Tribolium castaneum: one gene and its partners. The protein of the gene in region 1 purifies or fractionates together with the protein of each later gene. This does not show direct contact. Links are inferred from orthologs where the notes say so. Each region holds a gene or a part of one and is shown in the gene's direction. Other genes may lie near its edges.

Region 1 (3,672 bases):
TGTATTTCTGTAAATAACAAGTCGTTTGTAGAACACTTATTTTTTTACATATTTTTTTTTGTACAAAACATTCTGCAAGCATCGCTTGTTCTATAAATCATAAAAATTTCCATTAGTTAATGTTTTTAGTTTTTTTTAAATAAAATAATATTTTATTAATATAAATATTTCTCATTAATTAATATTTATTATTTATAAGAAATTGTAGAAAAAATCTGATAAAATTCGAAGGCTTACAGAAAGAAATAAAGCAAAAAAAATCACAAACGCTGATTTTTGTGTGATTATTTAAATGGATTATTATTGGTTATTAGTGATTCATTACAGTATCTCCTTAAACAAATTACTTCAATTATCACAAATAACACTTTCTTTCAATATTTATATCTTTTAAGTCAATAAAATTATCCGGAGATCTCAATACAATGCCGAAAGGAACAGTAGTGTGTAAATCGCCGTAAATGACCCAATACTTAACAGTTTTTGATTACGCAATAGATTAAATAACTCTTTGTAATCAAAAATCTTTTTCACTTTTTTATCAAAGTCCAACATAAAACACTTTATAATCACGAAAAAACGCAAAACCAAAGGCAACACTAGTATTTACCGGCATATAATTTTAAATTGACTCTCTCTAATGTAAAAAATTAACAGTACACACGCAGAATTGCTAAATAATCCATTAAATGAGCAATTACCAAAACTTGTTACTGTTTTCGGCAAGTACGACATGTCGTCACCAGAGGACGCCTAGTTAATGCATTTCTGGTGATTTCAGTTTTGTCAATTAGACTAGCCACCAAAAGTGTTTTTTTACGAATTGTTTGAATTAATTAACCCCAAGTACCATCTCGTGCAAAACCAAACGAAATAATGTGAATCGTGTCCTTGCTTTGTGTAATTTATGCCCGTATTTTCCATTTGAGTGCCCTGTTGACATTTGTTGGTGTCACCTAACCTCACAGTGTTAAAGGACGCGGCAAAATGGCCCTCCGAACATTCGGTGAAAAACCGATAACTTTCCAATTGGAGGAAAATGGGGAGTATTACTGTGTGGGCTCCGAGGTGGGGAACTACCTGCGCCTGTTCCGGGGTTCCCTCTACAAGAAATACCCCGGAATGTACCGCAGGTCAATCACAAACGAGGAACGCAAACGCCTCATCGAGCTGGGCTTGAGCCAGCACGTTCTGGCCAGCAGTGTCTCACTGCTTCGGGCCTCGGAAGTCGAGGATATCATTGAGGGAAATGACGAAAAGTTGGTTTGTTTTTTGGGGGTTTTGTTGTTATTTGTTGATTATTTAGGTATAAGGCTGTTTCGGTGCACACTTCGGACCCGCCGATGCCGAGGGAGAGTAAATCGAAGAAGTCGATGCAATGGGTGCCCTCACTCCCAAACTCCAGTCATTTGGACGCTGTGCCCCAAGCCACCCCGATTAATCGGAACAGAGTGGCGGCGAAGAAAGTTCGGACGTTTCCGTTATGTTTTGATGATACTGATCCAGAGCTGAATATGCAAAATGCGGCACAAGGGGAGTTGTTGGTCCCGATAAGGCTGGATATGGAAATTGAGGGGCAGAAGCTGAGAGACACTTTCACGTGGAATAAAAACGGTAATTTTTTGGGTTTTTCTAATCACAGTACGCTCTGCATTTGAAATAAAGTTGTAACTTTTACATTATTTATTCTTATCAACTTATTTTCGAATACTTATTAGCGCATTTTGATCTGAAATTTAATTCTTGAATAATTTTTAAACCTGCCACCAGTCATTTAAACTAATCAAGATTGCGTGATACGAGAAAAATATGTTGGCAATGACTGTAGTCTAGTAACTAAGGTTACATCTGTTATCTAAATTGACACCATATTGTTGATACTGGGTCCTGATTATTAACTACAAACTTGTAGTAAATGATAAATTTTTTGATAAAACGCATTTTTAAACACTTTTAATATGATTTATAACTTTTTTTGAGTTTAATTTAATTAAAACACGTCAAAAGATCATCTAAATATGTCGAAAATGACCTGAATTTGACACTCTTTAAAAACAGTTCCAATTAGATTAAAGTGTATGTTTTCTTTAAAGTGACTTTGCTTTTTTGTTGAAGCAAAACTTCATAAAAACGCTAAAAAATCATCTAAATATGTTGAGTAATAGCGTTATTTCCAGATTATTTTGCCTTTTTTTTATTAAACTTATCTTGTTTTTGAGTATGAGACTTACTTGTTCTTGAAAGTTTTGTCAAAAAATGACTAAATTAGGTCGAAATTGACGTTTTCTTCAGTAGTGATTTGGACACATTTCGTGAAAATGCACCGAAAAATCATCTAAATATGTCAAAACTTATGTCATTTTGACAATGTTTTCTCTTTTTTGAAAACTTTTTTTTTATTAAATACCCCGAAAAATATCTAAATATATCGAAAGTTACGGTTGGTTCGACATTATTTTAGTTTTTGTCGTTAGATTTATTTTTTTTAGCGAGAAACTGACTTTTTTGTAAAATTTTGTCAAAAATAAGCAAATTGAGATAAAATTGACGTCCTAGTTTTAAGAATTTCTGGTAGGTTTATTTGTTTTGGAGCCAGGAACTGCAAAGTTTCGTGACAGAATTAATCAAATGTAATGTTTTTTTTAACAGCTTAATTTCTTAAAATAATCTAGCTTTGTTTTTATACGAAATTGCATTAAAATGCGCCGAAAAATTTACTTTCATATTTTTCTTGCCTTTTTCATTAAGTAAGTAAGTAAGTTTTTGAGCGAAAATCTCCATTGTTTTGAAGAATTTTGTCAAAAAGCCAATTTAAATAAAAATTGAGGTGCTTTTTCAGTCTATTTAATATATTATTATTTATTAATTATTCTAACCAACTGTATTTCTGTTGAAAAATGTACTAAACACGCTCAAAAATGTAAAATAATTGAGTTTTAAGTTTAAAATGGTGATAAAACTCCCAAAAAATGCAAAATTATCACCATTTTTGACGCAGGTTAGTGACTTTTCGGCTTATTTTTGAGAAATTTAATAATAATAAAAGTGTTTTATTCTCCCATTTTTGTTATTTGATAATTGTAGAGTGGGCCCAAGTCCCAAACCTTTGTTTTTATCTATAGCCGACCTAATTTAAAGTTTAGACCAAGTAAATACCAACTCAAGAAAAAAAAAACTTTTTTTTTTTTTCAGAAGTTTCGTTTTTTCTTCTGTCTTTTTGTTTTTTAGTTCGAACATGTATTTGACTGTCATCCTTCATCATCAACAGAGTATTTTTTTTAATTACACAATATTTTGTGCATTGTTGTTAGTTTCGTAGTTTTTTTATTTTTATTATTTTTATATTTGTTGAAATCGGGATATTAGAAATTATATTTAGGGTTTCAATTACCAACTGTTAAACTTTTATAAAAAAAATTTAACAAGACGAAAATACAAAACAACCGTTGGGTATTTTTGAGAGACGATTTTTTAAAATAAAAAAAATAAAAAAAAATTGTATAAAAAATAATGTTTGGTGCTTTTGAGCGACTAGTTTTTGGTTTTTTTTTCAATATCAAAAAAATCAGCAAACGTAACTTTAGTCACTTATATAGTTATTGACAACGTATATCTCGCAACTCGATTCAGTTTATGCAAATTATTAGCATTAACAAAAATCATATCACAATT
Region 2 (3,756 bases), on another chromosome or scaffold:
TTGTAAAAAAAGAGTGTTACTAGAACTAGCGTTATTTTCATCTTATTGTCAGAACAATTTTGCACTTTTTCGGAATAAACTGGCAAGAATAATATTTTCGCGGCTCGCTTTCTTCAAAATAAAACTGGTTGACGTTCATAATTTTCTAATGACACGTTTCTACCTTCTGATTGGCTAAATTGGGCTTATGCTGATAGTGATGGCTGATAGTATTTGCTCCAATGGTATTTCCCGTAATGAAAATTATTTGAACCGAAAATCTTTCACAGTTATAATCCCGTGGTTTTTATAATGTAAAATTAAATCGATAAAATACATAACCAAACGGTCCAATAATACAGTTAGTTTTTGTAAGAATTATCTAATTGGGAATAATAATTGGATTAATTTGGGTTGAATTCTAACTAATTGGATGTTTCTGTTTTTTACGGTAATTTTTTACAAGTTTATCAGAAGTGTATTGGAGCCGTTTTGACTCGGAGCACAAACGTGACCCCATTTTCTTCAATTATTTATTGTCTGTCATAGAATAGAAGCACTGATTGAAGTGGGCAACCCAAAATACAATAAACCAAGTGAATTTATTTTTTTTTCAACTCTTATCTTTCTCAAAAAGCTCAAAAGCTCTTAAATATTAGCATATGGTATTTGTTTCAAGTTTCAGATTGCTACATAATTTTTTAAATGGAATTTATGACCTGTTTTAAATTTCCAATGTTCTCCATGCATCACTGTGTGTGTGTGTGTGTGTGTTTTTTTTTGATGTTTTGAATCCAAAAATGTGATTTTCAACTATTTTTATACACTCACTTCAGTTATTATTATTTTTTTAATTTTTCATTGTGGTTCTTATTGCCGAAGAGAGTGACTAAATTAATAATTAGTAATTAAAATGTGTCTTCTTGAGGTGTGTGTTATGCAGTAATGTTCACTGGATGTATATTCAACATAAAGTGGATTTATGAATTAATTGCATAGACAAGTTTTTTACTTGTTTTCAGATTTTTATTTAATTTTATATTTTTTATTAGCCTCTGCAGCCACGTAATCATTGGCACGAATACTTTTAGAAATTGTTTAGTTGATTAATTTCTTGTAGGTATAATTATTTTTAATAGTAATAAAAATGTTTAGGTGTAGTTTATTAATAATAATTAATAGACACAAAAAGAGTTTGAATCTTGATGTCCGGCTTAATAAGATTAATAACAGTCAGAGGTCAGTTTAAAACTTTTACATCTGCTACACGCTCAACTAATCCGAAAATGGGCACTACATTGTTCTTTGGCGGGTATTTTTAAAAATCGATAACAGCGCCACTGTTCTCTTCACATTGAACTATCAGAGCAAGCATCAAACAAACCTTTTACGGATCAGACAATTGATTCGAGGGGCGGTCGCTAGTATCCGAAACTGAAAAAATCCACAATATGACTAAAGTGTAATTTTTCTGGAATTGGGAGCTCATCCTGTGGCACGTCGTAATGTTTGTGTGTAGGTTTTGTGCATTTTGGTGATCAAAAACTTGAAAAATTTGAAAGTGGGCAAAGCGACCAACCACCCGAAATTGATGGACTCGTCCAAACAAGCTCGGAGATTTGAAGCAGCCAGTCAGTCGACAATCGGTCATCGTTTCGGGTGGTTCGGAACAGAATGTGTCAGAATTTTCTTTTGATGAATTCTAGTGTTTTCCAATTATTTCCCAGTGAAATCAGCGCGGATCGGTTGCAATTGTACGGTGCATCCCCGGCACCAGTCCGCACGGAAGCGCTTTCCGCGAAAGAGGCTTTTGTAAGGTGAGTGACATATTTTTAACTTTTCACATTGACACAAGTGTTGTGTAATTGCAATTCCCAATTCGGCGCCGCTTTTCCAGCATTTCCCATGGTTTTTCCGCGATTTCGGCGTCGGCGTTCCAAAATTAGCCTCCGTCGCGGGGGCCGGCACTCTCCCTCCGTGGAAATTTCGTCGGCCTGGCAACGCTTTTCCGCCGAAAATCTGCCGACCTTTCGGTAATTACGAAATTTCGATGCAACATTTTGTATTTGTTTACTGACAAAGAGTCGCGTCCGATTTTCGGCTTTATGCACTTTCGTGTTTGGGTCGCTTCGGTCGCAGCGCCTCGCACGTCCGGTTCCCTGCCCTTCCACTCGCCTATCGATTCCTTCATTGGCCAATCGCGAGCCTAGCTTGCTAGATCGCGGGAGCGAAGTCGACACGCAACGTTGCCACTGCCACAAATTACTCATGCACAAAGGTGTGGCAACGTTGCCACAACACAAATGCCGAAAAATGGCCACCAGAAACCGACACGTGACGAGATTTTTATGCGGGCTTTCTAAAACTTTGACGCGCGCCTTTTCAAGGTCATCCGTGAAAGTTGATTTACTGTTTGCATAAATGGTTTAGGGTATGGACTATTTATTTGGTTATCTCACGAGTGCCAAAATGATAAGAATTGTTACCCTGAGTTTTGTTTTGTTTTTTTTTCCGGGGAGAAATACCGACGCCATTATTGTCCGGAATGACGCGATAAGTAACTGCGTAGCAGTTCGTATAAACGCTACCGGTTTTGTTTATGCCAGAAATAAATAAGTGGGCGTGTCGTTTTGCGGATCAGCTGAATTGAAAATGTTCAACATGGGATCGAGAAATGTTCCATGAACGTTGTTGCCGATATTGTTGCAAATTTTCCTCGAATCTTATATTAAAACTTTAAAAATATCAGTGGTTTTGACTATGATGGACGAAATGTTGTTGGATTTTGTTTACGTAACATGTTATTTTGAGGTTATGTCGAAATAAAGTCATCATTTTGCTCTCCTAGCTTGTAAAAAACAGTATGGTCAAATTACATTTTTAAAAGCTTTTTTACATGTTTATTTCCACAAATTATTTTTTTGTCAAATACTAGTTTAGATTTTTGTTTTTACGATTTTTAGTAATTCTTGAATAACATTTTCGTGCTGGAATGAACATGTTTATATAAAATTTCAGAGGTAAGACGAGGGAAATAATTTGATAATTATTCAATCTGTAGGACGTGTTTCATAAGAGTAGTCTGTGCGAATTTTATTAAAACTGTAATTATGTGTCACATTGTGCTCTACTTTAATATTATTCATTTATCTACCAAATAAATAGGTAGTAAAATTATTTAAATTAGAGTTTGTCTCTGTTTTTAATTTAGGTATTATTATGTATGTTTTAAATTATAACGTTATAATAATTACTAACGGTGTATATTTATTTATTTGTAAGAAAAAGGTCAGAGATAATTACAAAAACTGATCTGACAGTAATAACATGCAGAAATAATGTTTGTACAGCGGTGGATAGAGGATAAAAATGGCAAATTGTTAAAAATTAATTTACATAATCACAATTATAGGTATTGGAAAATGAAAATTGGTTTTACATGTAATAAAAAATGTAATTTCTATTGGAAACCAATTTATAATGGAATGTTAAATAAAATGCTTACCGGTTATTATCATGGGTTATATATTTTTTGTCTAAAAAACATTGTATTTTTTCACGGAAATACAATATTCATAATATCTTCTGAAATTATTAATTAAACAAAAGGTAGGTAATTGTTAGGAATTCGATTAATGTAATAAAATAGCAGCATATCATGACACGAACACGTTTTTCTTAATCTTATCACAAAAGTGTAATAATATCAACCAGATGTCTCTCAACTCGAAAAGTGAAAAGTTTAATTGCCGTGATTTGTAATTATAAACTAATCAA
Region 3 (3,756 bases), on another chromosome or scaffold:
TTTTGCTAATCATCAGTACTTAAAGCTGCGAGAATTATGCTGTGACTTTCGGTTCAACTTTCTTTTTTTACATATCAAAATTGTTAGACTTTTTTTTAATGTTTCGTGAACAACCAAAAATAACCTCCACAACACCAAAACGTTTGGTTATACGAAATTTAGGTCATGTAAAAAAATAAGCTTTAATCTGTAATTATTAGATTTTAGAGTTTTATAAAAGGTGCTCATTGTAAGACATGTGGTCATAGAATCAAAAAAAAACTAATTATAAATCCTTATTTATCTTGGATTATTGACAATACAATATAAAGACTGCCATTTTACGTTTTTTAATTAGTTTTTTTATAAGTGCAATATTTCGAAATAATGAATTTGGTTTATTGGCTCAATGTTTTAATTGTTTGCTTTTGATTCCAGTAATTGTAATTTAACTGAATTCATTATTTCCGTTTGTTTTTTCTTTTGATGTGATGTATATTTGTTAAAACGAGAAATTATACTCTACGAAAACATAAGTATAGGTACTTACCAATAAGGATGTGTAATATGAAATGTACTAGATTTAATAATTTATTAACGGGTCTATCTGTTAGTCTGTGTAGACAAAAAAGAAAAATATTTATAGTAGAACTCTGTCTAGGTAAAAAAATGTAAAAATGATTCCTATACTGTATATGAAAATAATAAAATGTACTAAACTTGATTGTCTTTATTGAACAAAATCTCTTTAACATGTTGTGCTATCCTAATTTTCTTCCTTTTCTTCTTCTCTTCTGTATTTTTCACCACTTTATCCACCTCTCCTGACTTATTTTTCTTCTTCTTCTTGCACGACAAAGGGTTTGGCCCTTTCTTCTTCCTCTTCACTTTCTTACCTTTGGCTTCAACTAAACCACTCTCCAATTTCAACTTTTCAATTTTCTGTCTCTCACTTACACTTAAGCCTTCAGCCCTACTTCTAGTGGCCTCAACTGTTACCTCTGAAGGTTGTTCCAATACTGGAGTCTTCCCATGAAGATAAAGAAGCGGTACACCCACTTTATGTCTCACATTATTTTGTAAATCTCTATCTTGAGTTGCGATAACGTAATGATTAAGATTTGTATCACCCAACATTGATAACAAGCACTCTGAGGCAACAACTGGTTGTCCTTCATGTCCGCATTTGTGAATGGGAAATTTCTTCAAGATGATTAAAGCGCCCCCCAACTTAGTACCCAAATTTTCCATTTCGATGATTGCACATTGTGTAGTCAACAATTTAAGCTCCCCTTGTAAGTATCTCGGAACATTGTCAGCGATATTCACTTTATTCTACACTTAAGACTTAAATAAACAGCTTTTTAAACGGGTCATTTACTTACGTTCAAAGCTGCAAAACAAAACGTTCCGTCTAGTAGGATTTGATAAGGCTGCCGAAACCCGAAATTATTTATGTAGAAGTTTAAGTGTTTGTGCACTTTTTTGTACCTTTTTATCTTCATTGTAACTTAATAAACACGCACAAATTGTTATTTTAATCATGAATCTAACCTCACAACGTGACGTTTAATACCGGTTGGTGTTCCTGCAAGTTTAGGGTTTTTGTTGTTTTTTTCATGCGTTGCCGCCAACTCACAACTGTCACTAGAAAAAACACCAGTCAAGTGAACTCGAACGAAATTACGACAAATGTGAGCTTCGTTTTTCGTTAAAATAATTGTTTTTAAGTGCAACCACGTTAATTAAGTGAAAATGTCTGTGGGATTCGGTCAACGTGGCGGTAATCGACCGCCACCAAACCCAGCACAAGTACAAAAAATGCTCGACGAAAATGGACATTTGATTCAAACAATTCAAGAGTATCAAAGCAAAGGAAAAGCTCCAGAAGTTGTCCAGTATCAACAAGCATTGCACAGGAATTTAACTTATCTAGCCACGATGGCAGACTCTGCTCAAAATGTTCAGTCTTTTTTGCCTGTAAGTATAAACAAAGAGTGGCTTGTGTAACAAAGGTTAAGGTAAAACTACGCCAAACGGGTATTAATTACTGTAGTTTATGCAACTTTGTGAGAAATTGATTGCGAATTACGTATGAAAATTGGTATGTGATATTATTTTAAAATTTACTAACCTTGAGACATATTTGTTGTTGATTCAAAAGAGTGCATGGGGACTTGATTTCAGCGTAGATCTACGCTTTGTTTGACGTGCTTCTATTTAAATCGCGACAAAAAATAAAAGGATTATGATTTTATCTTTGAAATAACAATAAAATGCCTGTTTTTAATTCTTGTATTTATTTTGTATTAACATTTACAAATCAGGTGCTAACTACTGACAGGGCCGGACTACAGGTAAAATTCTTTCCGAATACCTTTCGGGAACACATCTAAGAAAGTACATTTCCAAAATTGCGATTTTATTAAAATAGCTCTAATAAAAAGTAAAACCAATCCCATTTTACAATAGCCTTTCCCCAAACTAGTCCGGTCCTGTCATGAATCTAAGTCAGTTGATAAATAACAAAATTTCAGATCCCCTCCCCATTTCTACAACTATATTTTCTATTCAGATGTTGCAAACACAGGCACCCCCACCACCGCACGGCCAGCCGCCACCCACAATGGATCAACAGCACATGAACAATTTCAACCACCAACAACAACCCGCCTACCGCCAGCCTCCAGGACCGCAACGCCCTGGCGTTCCAACCCACCCTTACCCCCAGCGAGGTTACCAACAAAACCAATACCCTGGCCAATACCCACCTCAAGGTAACGCCTATCCCCAACAAAACCAATACCCCACAAACCAACCCCCGGTCTATCCCCCATCGAATGCTCAAGCCAATTACGGACAACCACCGTCAACGACAGCACACAACAACTACCAACAGCCGGGTTACGGCACGCCCCCACCTGGTGGAGCCCCACCCCAACCGGGTGCAGGGCCCTACCCTCCGCCAGGTGCCCCGCCCCAAGCCCCACCCGGGACGTACCCTAATGGTGGCCCCTACCCCAATTCCACGGCTCCACAGACTTACCCACAGGGATACCCGCCCCAGCCGGGCTACGCCCCGCCTCCACCCTCTAGCCAACCACAAACGTCCCCCGCCTCTTATCCCAACCAACCAAGTACGTCTCCACAAAATTACGGGCCTAGTAATACCCAGTCTCCGCCCTTTTCGGCTCCACCCAATAATAATCAAAGTCCTGCGGTTACTTCGGCTCCACCCACCACACCACAACCGTATCAACCTCCATATCCACCCAATTCTCAGCCCTCGAATCCTAACGCAGGATACACACCCAATACCCCACAAGGGTATCCCCCTGCAGGACCGCCCAATAATTATGGGTATGCCCCACAACCTGGCTATCCACCACAGCCTCAATATGGGGGACAACCACAAGGGTACCAGTATCCAAGGCCTCCAACAGCACAAGGTCCACCACCTCCGCAAGGGCAGTATGGGTACAATTACCCTGCCCAGCCAAACCCACAGTAGAAAGTCCTTATTCTATGTTCCATTTTTTAGGAATCAACTCGAAGTACTTATCGTATTTCTGCGTTTTTTTTAGTTTTTTTCTCTCGAGAAATAGTGTGATATTGAATGTTTTTTCTTTTGTATCGCCATTTCATTGTAATAAATTTGACAAAATAAGCACTTAATCATTAATGACCACAGCCCTCCAAACGCCAAATTTCTTCAAAAATATAAAATAAAAACGTAACTAGAACTAGGATAGCTGAGACCTGCTTTCTGTGGCAGCT

The links.
Region 2: the proteins of Snr1 (region 1) and Sin3A purify together in Homo sapiens (affinity purification with western blotting; 3 studies listed by BioGRID, with this or other methods). This does not show direct contact. The link is inferred for Tribolium castaneum from reciprocal best matches to the Homo sapiens genes SMARCB1 and SIN3A.
Region 3: the proteins of Snr1 (region 1) and proline-rich protein HaeIII subfamily 1 purify together in Homo sapiens (affinity purification with mass spectrometry; 9 studies listed by BioGRID and IntAct, counting the BioPlex papers as one, with this or other methods). This does not show direct contact. The link is inferred for Tribolium castaneum from reciprocal best matches to the Homo sapiens genes SMARCB1 and SS18.

Annotation. Positions count from the first base shown.
Region 1 is NC_087401.1:13,705,430-13,709,101, reverse strand, and holds the start of Snr1 (SWI/SNF-related matrix-associated actin-dependent regulator of chromatin subfamily B member 1), read left to right. Parts: upstream 1-761; 5' UTR 762-987; coding exon 988-1,259; intron 1,260-1,306; coding exon 1,307-1,614; intron 1,615-3,672.
Region 2 is NC_087396.1:24,661,906-24,665,661, reverse strand, and holds the start of Sin3A (paired amphipathic helix protein Sin3b), read left to right. Parts: upstream 1-1,209; 5' UTR 1,210-1,796; intron 1,797-1,876; 5' UTR 1,877-2,012; intron 2,013-3,756. Other genes in the region: sel (protein seele), read right to left, coding at 1-41. UniProt on the Homo sapiens protein: Acts as a transcriptional repressor. Corepressor for REST. Interacts with MXI1 to repress MYC responsive genes and antagonize MYC oncogenic activities. Also interacts with MXD1-MAX heterodimers to repress transcription by tethering SIN3A to DNA.
Region 3 is NC_087398.1:224,259-228,014, forward strand, and holds proline-rich protein HaeIII subfamily 1, read left to right. Parts: upstream 1-1,589; 5' UTR 1,590-1,734; coding exon 1,735-1,959; intron 1,960-1,966; exon of another isoform or gene 1,967-2,083; intron 2,084-2,113; coding exon of another isoform or gene 2,114-2,150; exon of another isoform or gene 2,151-2,255; coding exon of another isoform or gene 2,256-2,336; intron 2,337-2,554; coding exon 2,555-3,490; 3' UTR 3,491-3,646; downstream 3,647-3,756. Other genes in the region: rRNA-processing protein UTP23 homolog, read right to left, coding at 694-1,314, 1,365-1,484. UniProt on the Homo sapiens protein: Appears to function synergistically with RBM14 as a transcriptional coactivator. Isoform 1 and isoform 2 function in nuclear receptor coactivation. Isoform 1 and isoform 2 function in general transcriptional coactivation.